Linked DNA regions of Callithrix jacchus. The protein of the gene in region 4 binds, or shares a complex with, the protein of the main gene of each other region. Links are inferred from orthologs where the notes say so. Each region holds a gene or a part of one and is shown on either strand. Other genes may lie near its edges.

The links.
Region 1: SF3B3 (region 4) and SF3A2 share a complex: the UniProt entries of both Homo sapiens proteins name them as parts of the 17S U2 SnRNP complex. The link is inferred for Callithrix jacchus from reciprocal best matches to the Homo sapiens genes SF3B3 and SF3A2.
Region 2: SF3B3 (region 4) and SF3B4 share a complex: the UniProt entries of both Homo sapiens proteins name them as parts of the SF3B subcomplex of the 17S U2 SnRNP complex. The link is inferred for Callithrix jacchus from reciprocal best matches to the Homo sapiens genes SF3B3 and SF3B4.
Region 3: SF3B3 (region 4) and SF3A1 share a complex: the UniProt entries of both Homo sapiens proteins name them as parts of the 17S U2 SnRNP complex. The link is inferred for Callithrix jacchus from reciprocal best matches to the Homo sapiens genes SF3B3 and SF3A1.
Region 5: SF3B3 (region 4) and HTATSF1 share a complex: the UniProt entries of both Homo sapiens proteins name them as parts of the 17S U2 SnRNP complex. The link is inferred for Callithrix jacchus from reciprocal best matches to the Homo sapiens genes SF3B3 and HTATSF1.
Region 6: SF3B3 (region 4) and MFAP1 share a complex: the UniProt entries of both Homo sapiens proteins name them as parts of the spliceosome B complex. The link is inferred for Callithrix jacchus from reciprocal best matches to the Homo sapiens genes SF3B3 and MFAP1.
Region 7: SF3B3 (region 4) and SF3B2 share a complex: the UniProt entries of both Homo sapiens proteins name them as parts of the SF3B subcomplex of the 17S U2 SnRNP complex. The link is inferred for Callithrix jacchus from reciprocal best matches to the Homo sapiens genes SF3B3 and SF3B2.

Annotation. Positions count from the first base shown.
Region 1 is NC_133523.1:2,127,978-2,131,924, reverse strand, and holds the end of SF3A2 (splicing factor 3A subunit 2), read right to left. Parts: intron 3,449-3,947; coding exon 3,339-3,448; intron 2,147-3,338; coding exon 2,097-2,146; intron 2,018-2,096; coding exon 1,877-2,017; intron 1,566-1,876; coding exon 1,497-1,565; intron 1,404-1,496; coding exon 606-1,403; 3' UTR 501-605; downstream 1-500. UniProt on the Homo sapiens protein: Component of the 17S U2 SnRNP complex of the spliceosome, a large ribonucleoprotein complex that removes introns from transcribed pre-mRNAs.
Region 2 is NC_133519.1:9,855,995-9,859,528, reverse strand, and holds the end of SF3B4 (splicing factor 3B subunit 4), read left to right. Parts: intron 1-2,340; coding exon 2,341-2,514; intron 2,515-2,624; coding exon 2,625-2,812; 3' UTR 2,813-3,034; downstream 3,035-3,534. UniProt on the Homo sapiens protein: Component of the 17S U2 SnRNP complex of the spliceosome, a large ribonucleoprotein complex that removes introns from transcribed pre-mRNAs.
Region 3 is NC_133502.1:200,951,707-200,955,206, reverse strand, and holds part of SF3A1 (splicing factor 3A subunit 1), read left to right. Parts: intron 1-1,272; coding exon 1,273-1,394; intron 1,395-3,500. UniProt on the Homo sapiens protein: Component of the 17S U2 SnRNP complex of the spliceosome, a large ribonucleoprotein complex that removes introns from transcribed pre-mRNAs.
Region 4 is NC_133521.1:31,393,470-31,396,969, reverse strand, and holds part of SF3B3 (splicing factor 3B subunit 3), read left to right. Parts: intron 1-920; 5' UTR 921-998; coding exon 999-1,068; intron 1,069-2,765; coding exon 2,766-3,092; intron 3,093-3,391; exon of another isoform or gene 3,392-3,471; intron 3,472-3,500. UniProt on the Homo sapiens protein: Component of the 17S U2 SnRNP complex of the spliceosome, a large ribonucleoprotein complex that removes introns from transcribed pre-mRNAs.
Region 5 is NC_133524.1:133,302,477-133,305,976, forward strand, and holds part of HTATSF1 (17S U2 SnRNP complex component HTATSF1), read left to right. Parts: intron 1-615; coding exon 616-715; intron 716-3,500. UniProt on the Homo sapiens protein: Component of the 17S U2 SnRNP complex of the spliceosome, a large ribonucleoprotein complex that removes introns from transcribed pre-mRNAs.
Region 6 is NC_133509.1:31,470,290-31,473,789, forward strand, and holds part of MFAP1 (microfibrillar-associated protein 1), read right to left. Parts: intron 2,022-3,500; coding exon 1,862-2,021; intron 380-1,861; coding exon 290-379; intron 202-289; coding exon 19-201; 3' UTR 1-18. UniProt on the Homo sapiens protein: Involved in pre-mRNA splicing as a component of the spliceosome.
Region 7 is NC_133511.1:123,134,727-123,138,226, forward strand, and holds part of SF3B2 (splicing factor 3B subunit 2), read left to right. Parts: coding exon 1-73; intron 74-225; coding exon 226-363; intron 364-539; coding exon 540-620; intron 621-813; coding exon 814-1,041; intron 1,042-1,910; coding exon 1,911-2,060; intron 2,061-3,023; coding exon 3,024-3,113; intron 3,114-3,221; coding exon 3,222-3,329; intron 3,330-3,500. UniProt on the Homo sapiens protein: Component of the 17S U2 SnRNP complex of the spliceosome, a large ribonucleoprotein complex that removes introns from transcribed pre-mRNAs.

The DNA.
Region 1 (3,947 bases), on a different chromosome or scaffold from region 4:
TGGGCCTAATGTGTCAACAGGCTGTCCTTGAGGGCCCGTCCCCAGAAGGCACAGGAGTGCAGCCAGACTACAGTGGTGGTGGTGGGGAACCAGATGTCCCGGGTGCTGGGCGTCGAGGAGGGTCCCAAGTCAGCAGGGGCTCCCTGTCCCCTGTTCACCCTCCCCACCCCTAGTGGGCTATCTGGAGACCCCAAGGGCAGGGGCTCCCTGTCCGGTTCACCCTCCCCACCCCTACTGGGCTATCTGGAGACCACAAGGGTATCCTGGAGGCTGCTCTTCCTTCCCCAGGACATGACCCCAGACATACTCCTAGCCGACTGGTGGGGTCTGTCCTCCACCAGGCCACCTCCAGGGCACAGCTGCCTCTCAGGCTCCCATGGGTGTCTCCTGGTGGGCCCCAAGCCCTCCCCAGTCGCCCAAACTTGGGATGGTGCCCTGCCTGGCACTCCCACACGGCATTCACACGGAGGGCGGCGCTGCAGAATCCGGGCACTCAGGGCTGGGGGAGGCGGTTTAATGAGTGGGGACAGTTACAAAGAGCAGCCTTCCCTCCCTGGGAAAGGCAGGAGCACCTGGGCCGGGCTTGCTGGGAAGGGAGCAGCTTCTCAGTTGGCTGGGGGAGGGGGAGGTATGTTCCCTGGGCCTTCAGAGGGGAGTGGGGGCCTCAGCATTGGGGGCATGGGAGTTGGGGGGTGTACCCCAGGATTTGAGGGGTGAACTCCAGGAGGCTGAGGGTGGACCCCAGGAGCTGATGGATGGACCCCGGGAGGTTGGGGGTGGACCCCTGGGGCCTGAGGGTGCATCCCTGGGGCTGGTGGGTGCACCCCCGGGGCTGGTGGGTGCACCCCCGGGGCCTGAGGGTGAACGGCCGGGGCTGCTGGGTGCACCCCTGGGGCCTGGGGGTGAACTGCTGCTGGGGGAGGGTGGACCCCCGGGGCTGGTGGGTGGACTCCGGGGGCTGGTGGGTGAACCCCGGGGGCAGGTGGGTGAACCCCGGGGGCTGGAGGGTGGACCACAGGGCCTGGGGGATGGACCCCAGAGGTTGGTGGGTGCACCACAGGGGCTGGGGGATGGACGCCAGGAGCTGGGGGATGGACCCCAGGAGCTGGGGGATGGACCCCAGATGTGGGGGGGTGCACCACTGGGGCCGGGGGGTGGACCCCTGGAGCTGGCGGGGGCAGTTGAGGTGGTCCTGGGGGCCCTGAGGGCGCAGGCCCTGTGGGGGGCATGGGTGGCAGAGGCAGGCCTCCTGGTGGGGGTGGTGGCAAAGACTCGGGCAGCGGTGGCCGAGGGGGCAGACCGTTCATCAGCGGGGGTGGAGGCCGCTTCACCCCAGGAGGCCCGGCAGGGAGGCTGGGCGGAGCCGGGGGCTTCTCCATCTTAAAGTGGAACTGGAGAAAGAACTAGAGACGAAGAAGGCTCAGCAGGTGCGGCTGGGGACTGGGCTGCCAGGGCCCCAGTGGGCGGGAGTCAAGGTGACCAGGCCAGCCACTAACCTGCTTGGTCTCCCGGTTCCAGTGCGTCCAGAACTTGCCCTCCGCCTTGTCGATCTCTCTGCTCGGCACCTGGGAGGGCAGGGGACAGAGGGCTCCTTCCTGATCCCTGCGACCTCAGGGCCGCCATCAGGCAGGGAGCTCAACCCATCCCGAGGCCCAGCCTCCCCGGCCCGGACCACACCCTGGGAGCCCATGGGAAGGCCCCGGCCTGACACAACCCTCCTGACACAGGGTTCACTCTGGAGTGAAACGGAGCTGGCCTCAATGCCAGCCCACCCTGCGCAGTCACTGTCTACAGTTTCCTGATGGCCGCCCTGGCCAGGTGTGGGCACAGGCTGAGGGAAGCCCCCCCAACAGCCTGGCATCCGCAGCCACGCTACCTTGAAGGCAATGGTCTCGTAGGGCTCGGCGGCCATCAGCAGGTACTGCCAGCGCCGGTCTGGGGGCTCGATCCGCTGCTCGTAGGCGGACATGAAGCGGTGGCGTGGCATGATGCCCTCGGCGATCTCAGGGTAGTCAATCTGCAGAGACACGGCCGGGTGGCAGCGCCGCCTGTTGGACGCCTATGGCCGCCCCCCACGCCCGGACCCCTGAGCTCACCTGGAAGAGGAGGCTCTGCTGGCCCATCTCCGAGTCCCTCTGCTTGGTCACTGCAACACAGAAGGCTCTCAGGTCCCAGCCGCTTGTCCTCCCTGAAGCTCAGGGACCTGGGACGGGCTAGTGCCACCCACTGAGAGAGGGCAGGACCCCGGGGGAGGCCCTGGGCCTCCAGGCAGCCGCTGGACTCTGCCTGTGCTCTTGGTCTCTGGGACGCTGCTATAGTGAAGGCACAGGTGCGCCAGGGCTGAGCTACCTGCGAGTCACTCAGGCAGGGACCGAGGTGGGTGCTCCTTTGTCCCCATCCTCAGAGCTCTTCACCCTCGGGTGCTGGGACACCACCAGCCAGTCAGGGTCACCGGGCAGGAAGGGCCCTTCGGCACCCTGCTCTGGGACTCAAGTGGGGCTGCCTGAACAGGGCCCACACGTGTGTGGGGTGAGCGCTCAGCCGCCTGGACCCCAGGAACGGCTGCTGGGGTGGGGGCTGAGTCCCTGCCAGGCCACCTGGCTCTCTCCACGCAGTGTCCGGCATGCACACTCACAAGCCCCCTGCCTCCCCACTGCCCTGAGCCCAAGCCCAGGACCTGTCAGGGCCTCCCGGCCGGGGCCTGCAGCTCAAGCTGCACCTGCCCTCGCCATCCAGCGCACCTGCCCCGGGCCTCTGCCCTACACGCTGCTGTCGGGAGGCCGGGCACACGGGGCGTCCCCGCCTTCCCGCCTTCCCGCCCCCCCGCGGACACACGTCTCTATCTTCCATCGCAGCTTTCTGAACTGGCAACCATTTCCACTGCTGAGGGTCCCAGACGGAGCCGCCCCTAACAGCCGCTGCTCCCCGTCCTCTTCCTTCCGAGGCTAAGACGAGTGGAACCCAGTTTCAAGGTTAACGGGAGAGAGGCGTCAGGCTCGCCACACCCCCACTTCCACTCTTGCTTGGCAAGAATTCCCAGAAGCTTCTACAACACTGGACTGCGAGGCACAGAGGGGCCGCCACTCACATACCAGGAGCCCCAGGCACAGAGGCGGCCAGGCAAGGAGGGCACAGACTGGGGCTCTGCTGGGGAAGGGGCCACTGGGTGAGATGGGTGCTTATCGCGTCCAGCCTGACAGCTCCCAGACACAGCGCCAGACGCTGCAGGCGGGTGAAGGATGGCCGCCAAGGCCATCAAACAGCAGCTCGGGGACGGGGTCTCAGGGCTGTGGCTTCCGTGCCGGAGCCCAAACCCATTCACGAGGCGGCAGACTCACCCTTGTAGCCGGGGCGGCCGATCTTCACAAACTTCTTCACCTCAACCTTGACCTTCTCAGGTGCAGGCTGGGCGGGGGCCTCCTTGGCCTCCTTGGCGGCTCGCCGGGCCCTGCGGGCAGGATGGACATGGTGCTGGGGCCCTCCACGCACAGGCACCAGGGACACGGGCCCAGGGACTGGTAGCCCCGACCTCAGAGCTCACTACACACCAAGGGATGAGGAGGGCCAGGGGCCGGGGAGGGGCCCTGGGGTTTGGACCAGGACAGGGGTGGGACAGGGATGTTCTCTTCCTGTCACGCTGCACTGTCCCTGCCTGGGGCCCTTCCCACAACCCCACGCCTCTGCTCTTCTCTTTTTTTTTGAGACAGAGTTTCACTCTTGTTGCCCAGGCTGGAGTGTAATGGCACCCTCTTGGTTCACTGCAACCTCCGCCTCCCAGGTTCAAGATTCTCCTGCCTCAGCCTCCAGAGTAGCTGGAATTACAGGTGTGCACTGCTGTGCCAAGCTGAGTTTTCTATGTTTAGTAGAGATGGAACTTCACCATGTCGGCCAGGCTGGTCTCGAACTCCTGACCTCAGGTGATCCACCCACCTCAGCAATACAGCCTA
Region 2 (3,534 bases), on a different chromosome or scaffold from region 4:
ACAATAGACTTCTGTGGACTTGGGCGTAGATTTTTGTGCTTTTCTTTTCTGCATATATGTGTAGTTTTATGCCTCCTAGATCTGTGTCTCTAGTTCATAGCTGTTAACATTCCAGATCCTTAATGCTGCTGCTTAATAGATAGTGCCACCTTTCTATCCCTCTCCCTCAAACCTATTCTTCCTCTAGTATTCGTTTTTTCCAGGTGCTTAATTCATGAATCTGAGAGCTATGTTTGCTGTGACTGTGGGGAGTATTACCTCACTCTTTTTTTTTTGAGACGGAGTTTCGCTACCCAGGCTGGAGTGCAATGGCGCGATCTCGGCTCACTGCAACCTCCAATTCCTGGGTTTAGGCAATTCTCCTGCCTCAGCCTCCTGAGTAGCTGGGATTACAGGCACACGCCACCATGCCCAGCTAATTTTTTGTATTTGTAGTAGAGACGGGGTTTCACCATGTTGACCAGGATGGTCTCGATCTCTTGACCTCGTGATCCACCCGCCTCGGCCTCCCAAAGTGCTGGGATTACAGGCTTGAGCCACCGTGCCCGGCCTTTACCCCACTCTTAATACTGAGTCTTATTTATGTCAGTGGCATCTCTCCCCATGGCCAGTGCCCCAGTTGAGTCTCATTCCTTCATTTTACACTTAATTTACTGTAGTAATATCCGGCCACTTTGACTCCAGTTTTCACTAACTTTGATCTACTTTCACAGAGTAAGTTTTGTAAAACACAGATGTGCACATGCATGCTCAGAATTCCTCTTTTGCTCCCTTTTACCTACAGAGTAAAACCCAAACTCATTACCATAGCATTCACAGCTCTTTATGGTTTGGCCCCTGCCCCTCATTTCCATAACTGCATTTTGCTCCTGATACTGAGTTACTGGCATATCCTGGAACATACTGTGCTGTTGGAGACACCTGTGATTTTTTTTTTTTTTTTTTTTTTTTTTTTTTGAGACGGAGTTTCGCTCTTGTTACCCAGGCTGGAGTGCAATGGTGCAATCTCGGCTCACCGCAACCTCCGCCTCCTGGGTTCAGGCAATTCTTCTGCCTCAGCCCCTGAGTAGCTGGGATTACAGGCGCGTGCCACCATGCCCAGTTATTTTTTTTTTTATTTTTTATTTTTTTTGTATTTTTAGTAGAGGTGGGGTTTCACCATGTTGACCAGGATGGTCTTGATCTCTTGACCTCGTGATCCACTCACCTCGGCCTCCCAAAGTGCTGGGATTCCAGGCTTGGGCCACCGCGCCTGGCCCAATTTGTGCATGGTAGGCTTTCTGCTTGGGTGCTCTCTTTCCACGATCTTATCCTCCTGAAATATTCGTGCTTTAGAATCAGATCTTTGCTTAGACAGTATGTCCTCTGCTACTTTCTCAAATCCTATCAACAGAGTTATCACTCTGCTTGTTATGTACTTCAGCATTACCATTACAGTGCCTAAGTCACGGAAGAAGCAAGCAAAGACGGTAAGGTCTTGAGTGATTGATTGGTTTGTGCTGTTGGAATGGGGTCAAGGATAGGGCGCACTTTTTACTACCCTTCCTTCCCTCCCTCCCTCCTTCCCTCCTTCCTTCCTTTTTTTTTTTTTTGAGACGGAGTCTCACTCTGTAGCCCAGGCTGGAGTGCAATGGCCTGATCTCGGCTCACTGCAACCTTTGCCTCCCTGGTCCTGGTTCAAGCAGTTCTCCTGCCTCAGCTTCCTGAGCAGCTGGGATTACAGGCATGCACCACCATGCCTAGCTAATTTTTGTATTTGTAGTAGAGACGGGATTTCACCATGTTGGCCAGGCTGGTCTTGAACTCGTGACCTTGTGATCTGCCTGCCTTGGCCTCCCAAAGTGCTGGGATTACAGGCATGAGCCACTGCACCTGGCTGTTTTTTTTTGTTGTTGTTGTTATTTTTTTTGGTGACAGGGTCTCACTCTGTCAACCAGGCTGGAGTGCAGTGGCATAGTCATGGCTCACTGTAGCCTTGGCCTCCGAGGCCCAAGTGATCCTCCCACCTCATCCTCATGAGTAGCTGGGACTATAGGCACTCACCACCATGCCTCGCTAATTAAAAAAAATTTTTTTGACAGATACGGGGTGTTACAATGTTGCTCAGGCTGACCTCAAACTCCTGGGCTCAAGTGATGTTCTCACCTAGGCCTCCCAAAGTGCTGGGATTATTGGCATGAGCCACTGCCCAGCCAGCCTTATTTTCTGGATCCTGTTTTCTATATAGTCCTCTTTCTGATGTCACTTTCTTTCTAATTTTGTTCTCTTCCTTTCTCCATTTTCTTTGCCCTCTTCTCTATCTTTGTCTCTTTTCTTTTTGTGTCTGTTTTATTTTCATAGGGATGACTCAGATGCAGCTGGCACACCATGGCCCTCATGGCTTGGGACATCCCCATGCTGGACCCCCAGGCTCTGGGGGGCAGCCACCGCCCCGACCACCACCTGGAATGCCTCATCCTGGACCTCCTCCAATGGGCATGCCCCCCCGAGGGCCTCCATTCGGATCTCCCATGGGTAAGTCGGCTCTAGCCACCTCCTTCACCTGCACCTAACATGTTCTAACAACTTCCTGTAGGTACACCCCTGTCCCAGGCCCTTACTAACTTTTCTTTCACTTCTTGCAGGTCACCCAGGTCCTATGCCTCCACATGGTATGCGTGGACCTCCTCCACTGATGCCCCCCCATGGATACACTGGCCCTCCACGACCCCCACCCTATGGCTACCAGCGGGGGCCTCTCCCTCCACCCAGACCCACTCCCCGGCCACCAGTTCCCCCTCGAGGCCCGCTTCGGGGCCCTCTCCCTCAGTAAATTCACATTTTCCTTCCTCCTGTTACATCTTCCCAATATCTTTTCGATTCCTTGGACCAATCAGAGATGCTGTAGCTCCTTGGGGCTGAGGCACTAACCTCTTTGAGCACCCCACCCCATTCCCCTTTGTAATGTAACTTTCCACAGGAGGTATTACTTTTTTATGTTGGTTCTGAGTATTTTGCAGATGCACAGAGAAAATAAAACTAAACTCCTTGTGTAGTTGTGGTGTTTGCCTTGACAGCAGTACCTTTTCTCTTTAAGAAGAGATGTCATTAGCCAAGTGTGGCACAGGCCTGTAGTCCCAGCTACTTTGGAGGCTGAGGCAGGAGGATTGCTTGAACCCGGGAAGCAGAGGTTGCAGTGAGTTGAGATCGGGCCACTGTACTCCACCTGGAGTATAAAAATGTCAGAAAAGCTGTCAGAGTATCATGAAAAGAATGGTAAGGAGGAGTAGGAGCAAGGGTGCTTACTCCACATTTTTTTTTGTTTTTTTTTTGAGACCGAGTCTCTGTCACCAAGGTTGGAGTGTACAGGTGCGATCAGAGCTCACTGTGGCCTTACCTCTCAGGCTCAGGTGATCCTCTCATCTCAGCCTCCCAAGTAGCTGGGACCACAGGCATGTGCCACCCAGCTAATTTTTGTATTTGTACAGATGAAGTTTCGCCATGTTGGCTAGGCTGGTCTTCAACTCCTGGGCTCAAGCAATCCCTCTGCCTTAG
Region 3 (3,500 bases), on a different chromosome or scaffold from region 4:
AGTCCTCCTACCTCAGCCTCCTGAGTCAGTGGGATTATAGGTGCAAGCCATTGTGCCCAGCTTGATAAATATTATTATCACTGAGTGTGGAAGCTGAGGAAGAGAGAGGAGCTCCAGCTTTCTAGCGTGGATGACTGGTTAGCTACTCCTGAGGAAAGAGGTTAGAGACGAAAGTGCCCAGGAGTCAGCTGGACCCAAAGCTGTTCGGTACACAGGAGTGTTCTGGGACATTAATTTGGGCCAGATGGTTTAGCCTATAGGCACTAGGGGGAAATGGAGGACACTGGAAACAGAAGAGAACCAAGAACAGAATTGGGCGGGGCTGGGGGTAGTGGGAATCACCAACTTTATAGAGCAGGAGGTGAAACGGGGGCTAGGGAGGAAACTTGAATGGAATGATGAGAAAGAAGGGAGGAACAGAAGAACGGGGCCTGGGAGTTGAGAGTGTTGTGAAGGAGTGGTCACCATTCATGCCCAGATAGTGGCGGTGGATGGCTGTGAGCAGTTGTTTTTGACTTTGTCAAGAGCACTTAAAATGAGTGGGGACCAAATGTCAGGTGAGGAAGTGAGACTAGCAAGACTGAAGAGAACTCAGGATGTTTAGCTGCCAGAGGAAGGGGTGGGAGAGGGCAGTGGCAGAAAGGAACATGAAGTTAGAGGAGAAACTTCATTTTTCTAAGATAAGAGACGACCCTTTGTTCGCTAAGGGAAAGAAGCTGCTGGAGAAAATACTGGAACTTATGGGATAGTTAATGCTGAGCATTTCAGTGGAGGGTCACAAAACCTTTGTGCATTGAATGGTGGTTAAGGTGTGGAACAGAGGCAGAGAGAGAGGGCATTCAGGGCAGAAGAAGCTGTCAGCAAATTATTTTCCATTTCTTTATTCAGCAAACAGTCATTAAAAATTCCATGCCAAGCCCAGCACTGGGTGCAGGGTTACAGACAAGGCCTGGATTCTGCAATGGTTTCTCAGGATGTAGTCTGAGTCCCTGCATCTGAATCACCTGGGCATTTGGTAAAAATGCAGATTCCTGGTCTCACTGAGACAGTTCAGCTAGAGAAGAGCCAGGGAAGCTACTCCTTACCCTGGGTCCCCAGGAGCATCCCTTGCAGGTGCAGTGAACTTAACAGCTTTTCTGAAGCAGAGGGTCCTAACCAGAGGGAAGTCTGAGTGAAAGTCTACCCTGACTGATGTCCTAGAGGAGTTTCACAGTGGAGAACCTGTGCCGAACCAGGGACTTGAAAACCTTCTTTCTTTTCCTGTTTTCATAGCCCATGGAAGAGGAAGCGTCTTCAAAGGAGGATTCTGCACCTTCTAAACCAGTTGTGGGGATTATTTACCCTCCTCCAGAGGTCAGAAATATTGTTGACAAGACTGCCAGCTTTGTGGCCAGGTAATGGAGCTACTTGGGTGGGTCAGAGATGGGTTTCAGCATGAAGAGGTTTCAGTGCTGAATCAGCACAAGGGTTTTTAAAGACTTGGGCCTTTTAGTTCATAAAAAAACCACAACATGGGAGTGGATTGGGCAGGACTGGTGTCCCTGACACAGCACAGCGATGGCCAGAGTGAGAGTCACACTTAGCCCCTGCTAAGTGTCACCAGGAGCCTCTGCTTCCAAAACTGGCCTGAGGAAATGTCTGGAGAGCTACTTCGTCACAGATGGTGTGCGTCTGTGCCTGAGCTGCTGGCCTGAGGAAGATAAAAAGGAGAATGTGTGCAAGGCCACATTCCAAGAATGACCCATCTGCAGAATGGAACAAAATGCCATCTCAGAGTTGTTTATTGTGAGACAGAAGCGAGGTCATGGGACCGCATGCCAGTGCTAGCTGTCTTCTCAGATGGAATGGGAATTGCTCCGAGTTCCTCCTGTCTCTCCCCACTGTACTTATACTCACATCCTTAGATGGAATTTTTTTAATGGCCCCTCGACTCCAAAGGTCAGTACATCCTCTAGGGTATTTAAGGTATTCCTTTGGCGGCCCTCAGGTCATGTCCAGCCTACAGATGTTTTGCTTGTCCTCACAGTAATTTTTTCAATATTCAAATTTGTTGCCACTATTTAAAAATGAGGAGGCCAGGTGCTGTGGCTCTTCCCTTAATCTTAGCACTTTGGGAGGCCAAGGTGGGAAGATCACTTGAGCCCCAGCAGTTTAAGACCAGCCTGGGCAACATAGCGAGATCCTGTCTACAAAAAATAAGAAGTTGTTTGGCTGTGGTGGCATGGGCCACCACATGGTCCTAGCTACTCAGAACGCTGAGGCAAGAGGATCAGTTGAGCCCAAAAAGTTGAGGCTGTAGTGAGCCATGGACTCCAGCCTGGGCAGCAGTGAAACCCTATTTCAAAAAAAACAAAACAAGTAAAAATGAGATTTCACAATCAATATGGATTTCTGGACAGCTCCTTCGTGTGTGGAAGCAGGTTCAGGCAGAGTATGTGCTCTCCAGGGACCCAACGTCACTCCCCTGAGGCAGTGCCTCAGTCAGTATAATCATTTAACGGTGTTCCTTCCTTTCCCAATCTGATGAAATTAAACATAAAGATCAATAAAGATTACTTTGGTTAGACCTTCTTGCCTTTTTTTTTTTTTTTTTTTTTTTTTTTTTGAGACGGAGTCTTGCTCTGTCACCAGGCTGGAGTGCAGTGGCGTGATCTCAGCTCACTGCAGTCTCCACCTCCTGGGTTTAAGCGATTCTCCTGCCTCAGCCTCCCAAGTAGCTGAGATTACAGGCACGCACCACCACACCTGGTTAATTTTTGTATTTTTAGTAGATACGGGGTTTTACCATGTTGGCCCGGATGGTCTCAATCCCTTGACCTTGTGATCCGCCTGCCTGGGCCTCCCAGAGTGCTGGGATTACAGGCATGAGCCACTGCACCCAGCCTACTTTGCTTAGACTTTCGCTGTGGCAGATCTGCAGATTCATCTCATTACATTTCAGCGGCTTTGATTAACCTGGGTATTAGGTTGAAAGCTGCTCCGTGCTTGATTGAACATTATGATGATGATGGTGATTGGGTCATGTCAGATTTAAATGGTAAAGTGTGTGTTTAAGATAAATGTTTAATGGCTCTTAGCAATGTCATGCTTCCCCTTTTCCCCTGATATTTTAAAAGCAGAATATACAGAAAAGAGGTGTTGGGTTAAAAATCACCATATTCTCATTACCAGAATAGTTTCTGCCAGCTGTTTTCACTTTTTTCTGTTTCCTTCTGTCCTTGACATCCTTTTTTAGATCCTTGTAATATTAGCAAAGATACTTTCACATTTCACTCTGTGTTTCTGCCACCACACTCAGCTAATTTATTTTTTTATTTTTTGTAAAGATGGGGTCTTTCTGTGTTGCTCAGGTTGGTCTTTAACTCCTGGCCTCAAGTGATCTTCATGCCTTGGCCACCCAAATTGCTGCCATTACAGGCATGACCACTGCACCTGTCCTGTTCCCAGTATTTCATTTTGGCAAATGAAGCTGTGGGGAAATCTCTGAATATTTTCTTTCC
Region 4 (3,500 bases):
TCTCTACAGTATATGTTCTTATTTATAGATATAAAAAATATTTGGAAGGATACATTATGACTTAGTGAAGTAGATTCCCCCAGGAGAACTGGATGGCTAGGGAATGGGTTGGAGGGAGCTTTTTGCTATGCCTTTGAATTCTGACTAAGTTAATGTATAGCCTGTTGGAATACAAGTAAACATAGATCTGCTTAGTTTCTGTGACAAATTGCCTAATACTGCATTAATGTTACAGATTCCAGTTCTCACACCATTTTCATTTGTTAAGTGACCTTGGGCAGGTGATTTAATCTCTGAGTTTGTGTTTTCTTATCTATAAAATGGATATAATACTGCAACTTAATAGGATTCTTACGAGGCTAAAGGCAAAATATATGGCATTGTGACTTGGCATTTAGAGGTTGCATTTAATTTTTTTTTTTTTTTTTGAGTTGGAGTCTCACTCTGTAGTCCAGGCTGGAGTGCAGTGGCATGATCTCTGCTCACTACAACCTCTGCCTCCTGAGTCCATGTTCAAGCGATTCTCCTGCCTCAACCTCGCGAGTACTACCTGGGATTACAGGCACCCACCACTATGCCCAGCTTATTTTTGTATTTTTAGTAGAGATGGGGTTTTACCATGTTGGCCAGGCTGGTCTTGAACTCCTGACCCTGTGATCCACCTGCCTCAGCCTCCCAAAGTGCTGGGATTACAAGTGGGAGCAGTGGTACGATTTCAGCTCACTGCAACCTCCACCTCCCAGGTTCAAGTGATTCTCCTGCCTTAGCCCTCTGAGGAGCTGCGATGAGCCACCTCGCCTGGCCTATTGTTTCTTGCTCTTACTCCACTAGTTCTGCTGTCTTCAACCAGAATTTCCCATACAAATATGTCTGTTGAAGTAACAGTCTCCCAGCTATTTTTCTGTTTTCTGTTTCCTCAGTTTGCTTGCATTCGGTACTCTTGGTGTGCAAGACCTGGAGGCGTGGATTAGGTTTGCTGGCTCAGATTTGCTGCAGCCATGTTCCTGTACAACTTAACCTTGCAGCGAGCCACTGGCATCAGCTTTGCCATTCATGGCAACTTTTCTGGTAAGTTCTTTTGTTAACATCTTTCGAAATTTTAAGTGGATTAGTACATATCTTGCTTAATCTTTTGTGGAGGAAATTTTTCCATTTATGACAAAACAGTTGTTGGTAAATGTAAACAATTCAAATTATGAGATAAGGTGTTAAGTTCTGATGCATTATCTATTACCTATTTCGGGGACATTTCCTAAACACATTGTGTAATGATTCTTGTCTGGGCACACATTTCTTGGCTGCCTACTTAGTGCCAAGTCGTGTGCTTATTGCTGTGAGACATACTGAGATGTGTAAGACCTGATCCTTGATCTTGAATTTGACATCAGGTTGGGTAAAAAGAATGTCTGAAGGTGTTTGTCAGGTTATCAGAGAGTGATTTAAGTTATCATAGAGTGATTTAAGTAAAGGGAAAGTTGGACCTTGGTTTGGTGCTTGAAGAGCTAAAACTTTTGAATGAGAATGGAGAAAGTGCAATTTAGGTAGTGAGTGCTGCCTGCATAGAAACAGGTCATTTGCTTATGTCCATGTCGGGGATATTTTTGTAAAGATGGATTAAAGTCAGGTTTGAATTGTGTGAAATTTCAAATACTGGGTTAAGAAATACATAGTTACCCAAAAAAAGGTACTAATGTTTATAAAATAACTTTTTCTTGCCATTTACAGATTTAACATTTGTGAGTTAATCCAAGTAATGCAGGAGGTTCATGATGGTGTAGAGTATTACATAATTTTGAGGTATAAATCTGAAAACTGAATGTGTGGTAGTGAGCAGCAGCCTAATTGACCACACAGCATTCATATTTCATGTTACTATTTTCTCTGATCCTCATTATGGCTCTTTGTGGGTTTGAGGCTTCATTTGGGTAATTTAGTTATTTGCTGTGTTTGATTAAGGAAATATGCATATGGGAATTTGGAGATTTGTGACTGACTTCATTATATAATGTAATGAATCTCAGCTGGAGTTTGGATAGAATTTTTGAAAGTACATTTTTTTTTTCCTTGAGACGGTGTCTTGCTCTGTCACCCAGGCTGGAGTGCAATGGCACGATCTCGTCTCACTGCAACCACTGCCTCCAGGGTTCAGTTGATTCTCCTGCCTCAGCCTCCTGTGTAGCTGGGATTACAGGTGTGCACCACCACGCCCAGTTAATTTTTTGTATTTTTAGTAGAGGCAGGGTTTCACCATGTTGGCCAGGCTGGTCTTGAACTCCTGACCTCATAATCTGCCCACCTTGGCCTCCCAAAGTACTGGGATTAGAGGCGTGAGCCACTGTGCTTGGTCGTTTATTTATTTATTTGTTTTTAAAGAGACGAGGTCTTGATGTGTTGCCTAGGATGGAGTGCAATGGCAGGATTATAGCTCACTATGTTCTCTAACTCCTGGGTTCCAACTCTCCTCCCAGTAGCCTCCCAAGTAGCTGGGACTAGAGGCATATGTCACACACCTAATTTTTTTTTTTTTTTGAGATGGAGTCTTGCTCTGTTGCCCAGGCTGGATTGTAATGGCACTATCTTGGCTCACTGCAACCTCCTCCTCCCGGGTTCAAGCGATTGTCCTGCCTTAGCCTCCCGAGTAGCTGAGATTACAGGTGCGCGCCACCATGTCTGGCTAATTTTTGTATTTTTGGTAGAGATGGGGTTCACCATGGTGGCCAGGCTGGGTTCTAGTTGTTTATAATCTTTATTTTTTGGTGATCTAGGAACCAAACAACAAGAAATTGTTGTTTCCCGTGGGAAGATCTTGGAGCTGCTTCGCCCAGACCCCAACACTGGCAAAGTACATACCCTGCTCACTGTGGAAGTATTTGGTGTTATCCGGTCACTCATGGCCTTTAGGCTGACAGGTGGCACCAAAGACTACATTGTAGTTGGCAGTGACTCTGGTCGAATTGTTATCTTGGAATACCAGCCATCTAAGAATATGTTTGAGAAGATTCATCAAGAAACCTTTGGCAAGAGTGGCTGCCGTCGTATTGTTCCTGGCCAGTTCTTAGCTGTGGATCCCAAAGGGCGAGCCGTTATGATTAGTGAGTGATTTACTCTACCCGCTGTGCATTCTTGGTTTAGGGTCACAATGCTGTGATCTTGGTGGTGTGCCAGTTAATTACCTATGTGGGTTTGACATATTTGGATTTACTCTAGGTTTAATGTTGCATTACTTTTTAAAAAGAGTTGCATTTTCTTTTAAAACAATGGGAAAAATCTTAACACACCTTTCTACTTCCCATCTAGTTGGAAATTGGTGTTTTCAATTCCTTTGTCTTTGGCCAAAAGACTGCAATGAAATGATATTATGTTATTAGACAGTGAATATAGTTGCTCTCATCAGCCTGAGGTGATGATTCACCTTCATGTCTCTTCTCAGAGAAATTCTTGAAGAAAATTTTGTGTAATCTGATCAGGCCTCTAGAGGGCAGTCCTCTCTGAGCAGTCAC
Region 5 (3,500 bases), on a different chromosome or scaffold from region 4:
TAAGAATTAGAGGTTTTTCAAGGGTCTCATTGGAATATTTGTATAACCAGACAGCAGTTGCCCTGGAGAACATTTATTCTGGGGATTTTTTCAGATATTGGGGCCATTTTGCCCCTGCCTTTTATTTTATTTTATTATTTATTTGAGACAAGAGTCTCGCTCTGTTGCCCAGGCTGGAGTGCAGTAGTGCAGTCTTGGCTCACTACAACCTACACTTCCCGGGTTCAAGTGATTCTCATGCCTCAACCTCTCTAGTAGCAGGGATTACAGACGTGCAGCATCACGCTCAGCTAATTTTTGTATTTTTAGTAGAGATGGGGTTTCACCATGTTGTCCAGGCTGGTCTTGAACTCCTGACCTGAAGTGATCTGTCCGCCTCCACCTCCCAAAGTGCTGAGATTATAGGTGTGAGCCACTGCACCCGGCCCCCTGCCCATTATTTTTATTTCAGAAAGTTACCTGACTAGAACTGTGACTGAAATAGTTTGTTGTTGTAAAATCCAGTAATTATTATTATTAGATACTCATCAAAGTATTGTATGAACAACTCATTTTTTTCTCTCTCCAACTCTGAAGCAAAATTTACAGTTTGTTGTTACTGCTTCATTGCCTCAGGCAGCTGGATTGGAGACCTGAGAGGAGAGCTGGGCCATCCCGGATGCGCCATGAGCGAGTTGTCATCATCAAGAATATGTTTCATCCTATGGATTTTGAGGTAGGAAGTGGTGTGCCCACTGATAGAAATGCTGATAGGCTTTCTTTCAAGGGAGCCTGGAGCTTGCCTCACCCCATCTTTGTCATGTCACCTCCTGCGTGTTTGTGCAGTGAGTAGTAAAGGAAGATGGAGCCAAGAGGCTACTTCAGTTTTTTTTTTAATTTCTCTTCCCTTTGTTTAGCCCAGTGTTGTTTTAAAGTATATCCCAGATAAGAGTGTTTAATAACCGTACTGCACCCCAGCTACTTGGTATGGGAAATCACTGAAAAATACCATCATTAAAAGATTTATGGGAACTGCTTGTGAATTTTGAGTGCAGTTCAACAAGTGTGGACTGATTTTGGTGGGGAGTACCAGCTTCACAATTGTAAATGCAGACTTCAGTTTAATATTAAAAGTTATAATGCTTAATGTCCCTGTAAAATTCCAATAACAGCAAGTAAAAGTGAATGATTAAAATAGTATTTTAATCATTTTCTTAAAATGATTTTAAAAAGTGAATGGAACTGCCCTTCCTCCCCTCAAAAAACTGAATGAAGGAAGAACAAAGAACTACTTAAGGAGTTCTAAGGAATATTGTCATCAAAGTACCTTTATTTTTTTATTTTTATTTTTATTTTTTTTGAGACGGAGTTTCGCTCTTGTTACCCAGGCTGGAGTGCAATGGAGCGATCTCGGCTCACCGCAACCTCCGCCTCCTGGGTTCAGACAATTCTCCTGCCTCAGCCTCCTGAGTAGCTGGGATTACAGGCACGCGCCACCATGGCCCAGCTAATTTTTTGTATTTTTAGTAGAGATGGGGTTTCACGAAGTTGACCAGGACGGTGTCGATCTCTTGACCTCGTGGTCCACCCTCCTCGGCCTCCCAAAGTGCTGGGATTACAGGCTTGAGCCACCTTTATTTCAGAAAGTTTTCTGACTGTAACTGTGACTGAAATGCAGTTTGTTGTAAAATTCAATAAGTATCATTAATAAATAACAAAGTATTGTATGAACAACTTTTTTTTCTCTCTCCCACAAGTCTGAAGCAAAATGTACAGTTTGTTGTTACATTCTGCCTCTATTCTCTTCTCTGTCTACTGGTGTGGAGCAACTTTATTGTATAGTGGAGAAACAACTATTCTCTCCCTGGTTCTGAAAGTAGTGATAGCAAGTTATACAGAAAGCAGGTTAGGCTGGGCGCGGTGGCTCATGCCTCTAAACCCAGCTACTTGGGAGGCTGAGGTGTGAGGATCACTTGAGTCCAGGAGGCAGAGGTTGCAATGAGCTGAGATCATGCCACTGCACTCCACTCAAGCCTGGGCGACAGAGCGAGACTCTGTCTCAAAAAAGAAAAACTCAGATACAAAGGTACATTTTCTCACTGTATGCCAGCACTGTTCAATAGAAATATAACATGAGCCACATGTGTAATTTACATTTTTGTGTAGCCACAATAAAAATATAACATGAAATGGGAAATTATTTTTAATAATGAATTTTATTTAACCCAGAACATCCTAACTATAATTTCAACATGTAATGTAGATAAAAGTGTTAGTGAGCTATGTTACATTGCTTTTTGTTTCATTTGGTACCAAGTCTTCACAATATGGTGTACATTTCACGTATATAGGACGCCTCAGTTTGGACTAGCCACATGCAGTTAGTGGCCACCATCTTGGACAGCACAAGTTTAGATTGCCAAGGAATGAGAAACATGGTTTATTTCTTCCAAAAAAAATTAATGAGAGTTGACTGCAGAAGGTTCCAATGCCTGAGTCTGATTTTAGTCTTAGATTGCTTGGAAAGTTTTGTCTTTTTAAAATGACCACATGTGTAGCTAGGTAGATTAAAAAATCTCCCTAAAGGAGATCACTCCCTTTAAGCTTCAGGGTACTATATAGCAATGAAGATCTGTTAGGTTTTCAGGCTGCTATAAATGGAAACAAGGGTTTGAGAAGACTTTGGCTAAGATTTGATAATATAAGAAAACCACTGAGGCCAGGCTCAGTGGCTCACGCCTATAATCCCAGCACTTTGGGAGGCCGAGGCGGGTGAATCACCTGAGGTTAGGAGTTTGAGACCAGCCTGGCCAACATGGTGAAACCTGTCTCTACTAAAACACAAAAATTAGCTGGGTGGCGTGCGCCTGTAATCCTAGCTACTTGGGAGGCTGAGGCAGAAGAATCTGTTAAACCTGGGAGGCAGAGTCTGCAGTGAGCCAAGATTGCGCCATTGCACTCCAGCTTGGGCAACTGAGCAAGACCCCGTCTTCAAAAACAGAAAGAAAAGAAAAGCACTAAGATACTGGTATAGAAATAAAGGTAATGCCTACCCCCACCATGGAATCACACTTAAAAGTTGTTAAACATGTTGAAACAGTTTTTGTTTTGTTTTGTTTTTTGAGATGGAGTCTTGCTATGTCGCCCAGGCTGCAGTGCAGTGGCACAATCTCAGCTCACCAAAACCTCCGTCTCCCAGGTTCGAATGATTCTCCTGCCTCACCCTCCTGAGTAGCTGGGATTAGAGTCACCTGCCACCTTGCCTAGCTAATTTTTGAATTTTTGGTAGAGACGGGTTTCACCATGTTGGTGAGGCTGGTCTCAAACTCCTGACCTCGTAATCTGCCTGCCTCGGCCCCCAAAGTACTGGGATTACAGGCGTGAGCCACCACACCTGGCCTTTTTTGTTTTTAATATAGTCTGATTTTCTTGGTGAATAAAAGATACTAGAAACAGTTTATCAAATTCTTAAAAAGATTTTTTTGAATGTTGGCTATGTACAAAAGGCTGTGCTGTTTTCT
Region 6 (3,500 bases), on a different chromosome or scaffold from region 4:
AGAATAAGCAAAACTACCCTAGGTAGTTTTCCGCTTCTTGGCAGATGGCCGTTCAAATACATCTCGTACCCCAGCTGCCTTTTGTTTGAAGAACTTTGTGTTCTGGGCACTCTCTTGGCCCCAAGCTGAGTCGAAGGAAGTGGTATCTTGATCCACAAGGTGAGTATATTTGGTGCGACCTGAGCGTCCAAAGTTCTTGACCTGAGGGAAGATGTAGGATGGTTACACCATCAAACCATACCTCATCTGTCAATACATTACTTTTTCATGTTATTAAGGTTCCCCATACCTGCATGACTTTAGGAAGAATGGTCTTGTTGAAATGATCCTCCAGGGTAGGAGCGCTGAAATCTCTCTTGTATACTTCTTCATCCTCATCCTGTAGAGAAGAATCTTATCAGTCTAGTGGCTTTATTTCCTATATATTCAAACCACAAACATACTTTACAATGAAGGATACAAAGAAAGCAGAGGGTATTGAGTCTTTCTTCAAGAGCTTACATCTAGTTGAAGAGATTCTTTTTCCTTTGTTGTATTATCTTTAATTTTTTTTCCCTGAGACGGGGGGGGGTCTCATTCTGATGTCCAGGCTGGAGTGCAGTGGTGTGATCACTGCTCACTGCAGCCTTGACCGCCCAGGATCAGGTGATGCTCTTACTTCAGCCTCCTGAGTAGCTGGGACTACAGGTGCACGCAACTATGCCTGATTTTCTCCTTGAATATAGACATGACTCAAAGGTTGGCTTATTCTCTCTGCACTCAATGTGTTCATTTACTCATGTGACTTCAGCTCTGCACAGGCCTCTCCAATCTCCAATCCTGGATTTTCTACTGCCTTTTATATAAGCTGGATATTTTATTGGGACTTTAAACTCACATCTAAAGTGAAGGGCAGGAATTTAGTTGCGGTGGGGATATTTAGAATTTGCTAAACAGTTGAAAAAGCTCGTCTAGTTTTTGATACAAACTGCTTTAACATGACAAAATCATAAACCATACAGGGTTAGCAGATTGGTATTTTGACTTTAGACTTTACGTGAAGAACAAAGATGGCACTCCACCTAATGGTTAGATAATAAACCATTCTTTTGGTTAGTTATGCTTAGGTACTTTGTCAGTTCAGAATGAAGTGAACCTTTTACCACCCAAATGTGAATTAATGTAAAGCTATTTGCAGTTTGGTTTTCACATACCCAAAACTTCTTATTCAGGTATGAAATAATAACAACTATGTGATTTGGAGGACCTAATTAGTCCACTATCTATATAGATCACTTCTCCATTTCATTTCCTCAGTTTATCTAAGGCTGGGGATGATGGCGCATGCCTGTAATCCTAGTACTTTGGGAGGTTGTGGTGGGAGGATTGCTTGAGGCCCAAAGGTCAAGATCAGCCTGGGCAACATATAGTGAGACCTGGTCTCTGCAAAAAATTGAAAAACTAGCAATTAGCAAAAAGAAAAATTAGCCAGGCATGGTGGTGCATGCCTATAGTCTCAGCTACTCTGGAGGCTAAAGCAGGTGCATAGTTTGAGCCCAGGAGGTCAAGGTTGCAGTGAACTATAATCATATCACTGTATCCCAGCCTGGGTGACAGCAAGACTTTGTCTCGTAAAAAAAAAAATATATGTCTATTACATCATTTCCTCTTTTTGAGAGCTGGGGCCAAAAGAGAGTTGATTACACTTCTATAATCCAATTACTGATGATGCTTTTCTCTGAGTTTATATTCTTCAGAGGGAAACAGCAAATGAGAAAGCTGACCACTGGCAAGTGAAAATAACATTCTTGAGGAGAAAAAATAATTCAGTATCTGAGTTATTCCTACTGCCCAATTTTTGGACTCTCTTCTCACTTCTTACCATGAAGAAGGCACCCCTGTGATAATACTTCTGTAAGAACTTATATTTGCCCTTAACAGCTTTGTTGGTAATAACTTTGCCATTTGCCCGAAGCTCAGCTCTTCTCTCTTCCTCAGTCAGGTTTCGCATGCGTTCAATTTCTGCTTTCTCCTTCTCAAGCCTGTCCAGGGAGCAAAACAATTTATTGGTACTGTTACAGCTTCAGAAAGACCAAATTATCTGAAAATAACAGTCCCATGTCATTCCAAATATTATTCACCCTCTTTAATTCTAGTCGCTGCCTATTAGGAATCAAGATCAGGAGCTCAATAAACAAAAGGGTAAGTTGGTCTTCATTATTTTTGCCAGACTAGGTATTGTCCACTTCCAAAAGTTGATTCTAGCCATTTTGAGGTTCAGACATACTATTATTACTGCTTCATTTTGCAACATTACAAATTCTCTTTCCCTAAAAAGTATTCTTAGCTTTAAAAAAAATCAGTGAATTTAAAATAACTGTCCAGGACTTCGGTGATATTCCTTTATGTAAGTGTATCAGAATCATATAGGTGCTTGCATGTCATAAACCAAAGATTACTGTTATTAATTAGATTGCAGTAACTTTTTAGCCACTATTAGGGAGAGAGGGGGTGATATCCCCTTTTTCCAAAAAAAAAAAAAAAAAAAAAAAGCATATATACACATAATTTTGTGTACAGTTTTTTTTTTTGTTTTGTTTTTTTTTTTGAGATGCAGTTTTGTTCTGTCACTGAGGCTGGAGTGCAGTGGCACAATCTTGGCTCACTACAACCTCCACCTCCCAGGTCCAAGCGATTCTCCTGCCTCAGCCTCCTTAGTAGCTGGGATTACAGGTGTATGCTACTATGCCTGGCTAATTTTCTTATTTTTAGTAAAGATGGGGTTTCACCATGTTGGTCAGGATGGTCTCAAACTCCTGACCCTTGGCCTCCCAAAGTGTTGGGATTACAGATATGAGCCACCATGCCCAGCCTTGTGTACAATTTAAAAGGGCACTTGGACTCCTACTCGTTCAAGTCCAGGATAAGAACCTTAGAAACTACAGACTGAGGGCTGGGCATGATGGTCATGCCTGTAATCCCAGCACTTTGGGAGGCCAAGGCGGGTGGATTACCTGAGGTGAGGAGTTCGAGGCCTGCCTGGCCAAAACGGTGAAACCCAGTCTCTACTAAAAATTAAAAAATTAGCCAGGCGTGGTGGCACATGCCTGTAGTCCCAGCTACTCTGGAAGCTGAAGCAGAATTACTTGACTCCCAGGGGGTGGAGGTTGTAGTAAGCCGAGATCACACCACTGTATTCCAGACTGAGTGAGAGTAAGACGGTCTCAAAAACAAAACTACGGGATGAGGATGGAGTTTTATCTATTATGTGTAGCTTATATGGCTCATATTCAGGCAAATTTTGGTTGTTTTTTCAGACAGTCTCACTCCAACTCAGGCTGGAGTGCAGTGGTATGATATCAGTTCACTGTTACCTTTGACTCCTGGGTTCAAGTGATTCTCCTGCCTCAGCCCCTGAGTATCTGGGACTAACAGGCACACACAACCAAGATGGCTAATTTTCACATTATAGTATAGATGGTGTTTTGTCATGTTGGCCAGGCTGCTCTCTAACTCCTAGC
Region 7 (3,500 bases), on a different chromosome or scaffold from region 4:
GTATGTGACTGAAGAACCAGAAATTTATGAGCCCAACTTTATCTTCTTTAAGAGGATCTTTGAAGCTTTTAAGGTACAAAAGAGCACACTTGAAAGGGGCAGTGCCAAACAGGGAAGGGGCTCAGAGGTGGGTGAGAGGCAGGGAACAGGCATCTTTTCAGTGCTGGTTTTAGGAACTGGGAAGGGACCCAGATGGCAGGGGTTTCACTTTGTCTGCCTCCTCAGCTCACTGATGACGTGAAGAAGGAGAAGGAGAAGGAGCCAGAGAAACTTGACAAACTGGAGAACTCTGCAGCCCCCAAGAAGAAGGGCTTTGAGGAGGAGCACAAGGACAGTGATGACGACAGCAGTGATGACGAGCAGGTCAGGTCTGGCTGTCCTGGCGGAAAGCAGGGACTCTGGGCACAGGTGGCTGAGAGGCATCCAGAGAGGGACCATGGTGAACTCTTGAAGAGCTTCGGTGGCTTAAGGTTGGGGTGGGTTGGGCAATTTCATTCACATCTGAGTCCTGCTCGAAAGAGGTGATTGTTCCGTTCTAGGAAAAGAAGCCAGAAGCCCCCAAGCTGTCCAAGAAGAAGTTGCGCCGAATGAACCGCTTCACTGTGGCTGAACTTAAGCAGGTGAAACTGAGAGGATCCTGCGGGCCCTGGAGCCCAGCTGGGAGACAACCTGGGAAGCCAGGGAGGTGACAACTTTGAAGGAAGTGTTGTGGGTGATTTGGGTATAGGTCCTTTGAGGAAGAGGAATGGGAAGAAGAGCTTCAAACCTGAGAAGTTGGGGCTTTCAACACACGCATTCCTGTGTGTTTTCCAGCTGGTGGCTCGGCCCGATGTCGTGGAGATGCACGATGTGACAGCGCAGGACCCTAAGCTCTTGGTCCACCTCAAGGCTACTCGGAACTCCGTGCCTGTGCCACGCCACTGGTGTTTTAAGCGCAAGTACCTGCAGGGCAAACGGGGCATTGAGAAGCCTCCCTTCGAGCTGCCAGACTTCATCAAACGCACAGGCATCCAGGAGATGCGAGAGGCCCTGCAGGAGAAGGTGAGGTCCTGGCAGGGCTCACACTTGCCCTCGGGTGTCCCCATCATTCACAGCAGAGTGCTGCAAAATGGGAACCTGGTTTGAAACCCACCTACCACCTACTTGTTACTTGTCTAATTATCCCTTTGTTTTCCTCCTCTGCTTTTCCTCTCCTCTGCCTTCACTTTGCCAGCTCACCTGGTGACTCGTTTCCCAGATGCACTTTGTGGCTACAGATTGATGGTGGTTGTGTAACTTCTTACATTTTTTTTTTAAGAAGGAGTCTTGCTCTGTCACCCAGGCTGGAGTATAGTGGTGCAATCTCCGCTCACTGCAACCTCCACCTCCTGGGTTCAAGCGATTCTCCTGCCTCAGCCTCCCAAGTAGCTGGGACTGCAGGTGTGTGCCACCATGCTTGGCTAATTTTTTTGTATTTTTAGTAGAGATATGGTTTCACCATGTTAGGATGGTCTGGATCTCCTGACCTCGTGATCCACCCGCCTCAGCCTCCCAAAGTGCTGGATTTACAGGTGTGAACCACTGTGCCCAGCTGTAACTTCTTAATTTTAAAGCTTTTAATTAAATGCTTTGGACTCAGGAGGTACAAAAGAGCATGGGGAAGTCTCTGCCTTTCAGAGAACTGATGAGGTTCAGCTTTGGTGAGATGGTTTAATAACTAGTTATTGGTATACACAGCTGAGGCTGATACGGTGTAGTCTATTTTGTTGAGTATGGATAATGTTTTGAAGGGTTTGAGCAGGAACGATCTTGGTGACTTTCAGGGTGACATAATTGAGGCTTCTCTTGATTTCTTTTGGAGCTGGAAGCTGGATTCTCTACATGAATTTGGTGAGTACTTGTTAAAGCTTGTCTTTTGCCATTCTCCACAGGAAGAACAGAAGACCATGAAGTCAAAAATGCGAGAGAAAGTTCGGCCTAAAATGGGCAAGATTGACATTGACTACCAGAAACTACATGATGCCTTCTTCAAGTGGCAGACCAAGCCAAAGCTGACCATCCATGGGGACCTGTACTATGAGGTTTGGGAGGGGGCTGGGAGAGGCCAGTTTGGGCCTTGGGGTTGAGACTGCCTAGGGCTTTTTTTTTTTAAATGGAGTCTCACCCTGTTATTCAGGCTGGAGTGTAGTGGAATGATCTGGGCTCACTGTAACCTCTGCCTCCTGGGCTCAAGCAGTTCTCCCATCTCAGCCCCTCAAGTAGCCAGGACCACAGGCACACCATGCCTGGCCAACTTTTTTAATTTTTGGTAGAGACAGAGTTTCGCTATGTTGTCCAGGTTGGTCTAGAACTCCTGAGCTCAAGCGATCTGCCCACCTCAGCCTCCCAAAATAAACCACTGCACCTGACCCAGGAGGGCTTTTGAAGTGACTACAGTAGTTCCTCAGCCTTAGAATTGCCCATTGACTACCTTCAGATGAGATGGACTTTAAAAATGAGGTCCTTTTTGAAGGAGAGATGCAGACCTGGTGACTTCTTTGTCGGATAGACTTTTCGTATCCTGTCTTTGAAATGATAATAGTTGGTGGTTGTTGGTTTAGGGATGAAGGAGCCAAGGGGAAGATGCTTTTAGGAAACTTAACACTGAGGGTGGTAGACAAGTTGGTATTTTCTGATCCTTGAAATCGTAGTCACCATGATGTCATGGAATTTATGAGGTAGAAGAATTAAATGCAGATTATCCCTTTGAGTGCCCTCATTTTACAGATGAGAAGGCAGGTCCTAACGTTGGCCATGTTCTCACAGTGGGTTATTGACAGCACTGGGAATCTGGGCTTTTCCCCTCCGCCCTGGTTTATATTCCTTCCCCCACTTTGGCCAGGGAAAGAAGTGATGAGAATCAGAGTGGGAGCCAGCTAGCCCTCAGTGGGATTTTCTATCTGATGTGGGTTAGGACTTCTCGCCTTTGTTTTCACATCCTCTTGCGGTTGTGCTCCCACTGAGTGTCTGGGTCTACAATGCAGTATGCTCTGCTTTTCCCTCAGGGGAAGGAGTTTGAGACACGACTGAAGGAGAAGAAGCCAGGAGATCTGTCTGATGAGCTAAGGATTTCCTTGGGGATGCCAGTAGGACCAGTGAGTGTCAGTGGGCTGGGGAAGCAGTGAAGAGGGTGGGGATTGGGGCAGAAGGCAGAGTCAGGGATAGGGTTTGGCAGATGGTATCCTGTTCTCTTTTTCATGCAGAATGCCCACAAGGTCCCTCCCCCATGGCTGATTGCCATGCAGCGATATGGACCACCCCCGTCGTATCCCAACCTGAAAATCCCTGGGCTGAACTCGCCCATCCCTGAGGTGAGCATTGTCATTTTGTTTGTTCAGTTCTGCTGTCTCTGCTTTTGAACTGGAAGGTAATTTTTTTGTTTTCCTTCTCTGACTCCACTACGTGTCTCTTTTTTATTGACACATCATATTTGTCACATACCATGTGTTTCTAGAAAAACAAAGAATGGTTTTTGTTTTTTA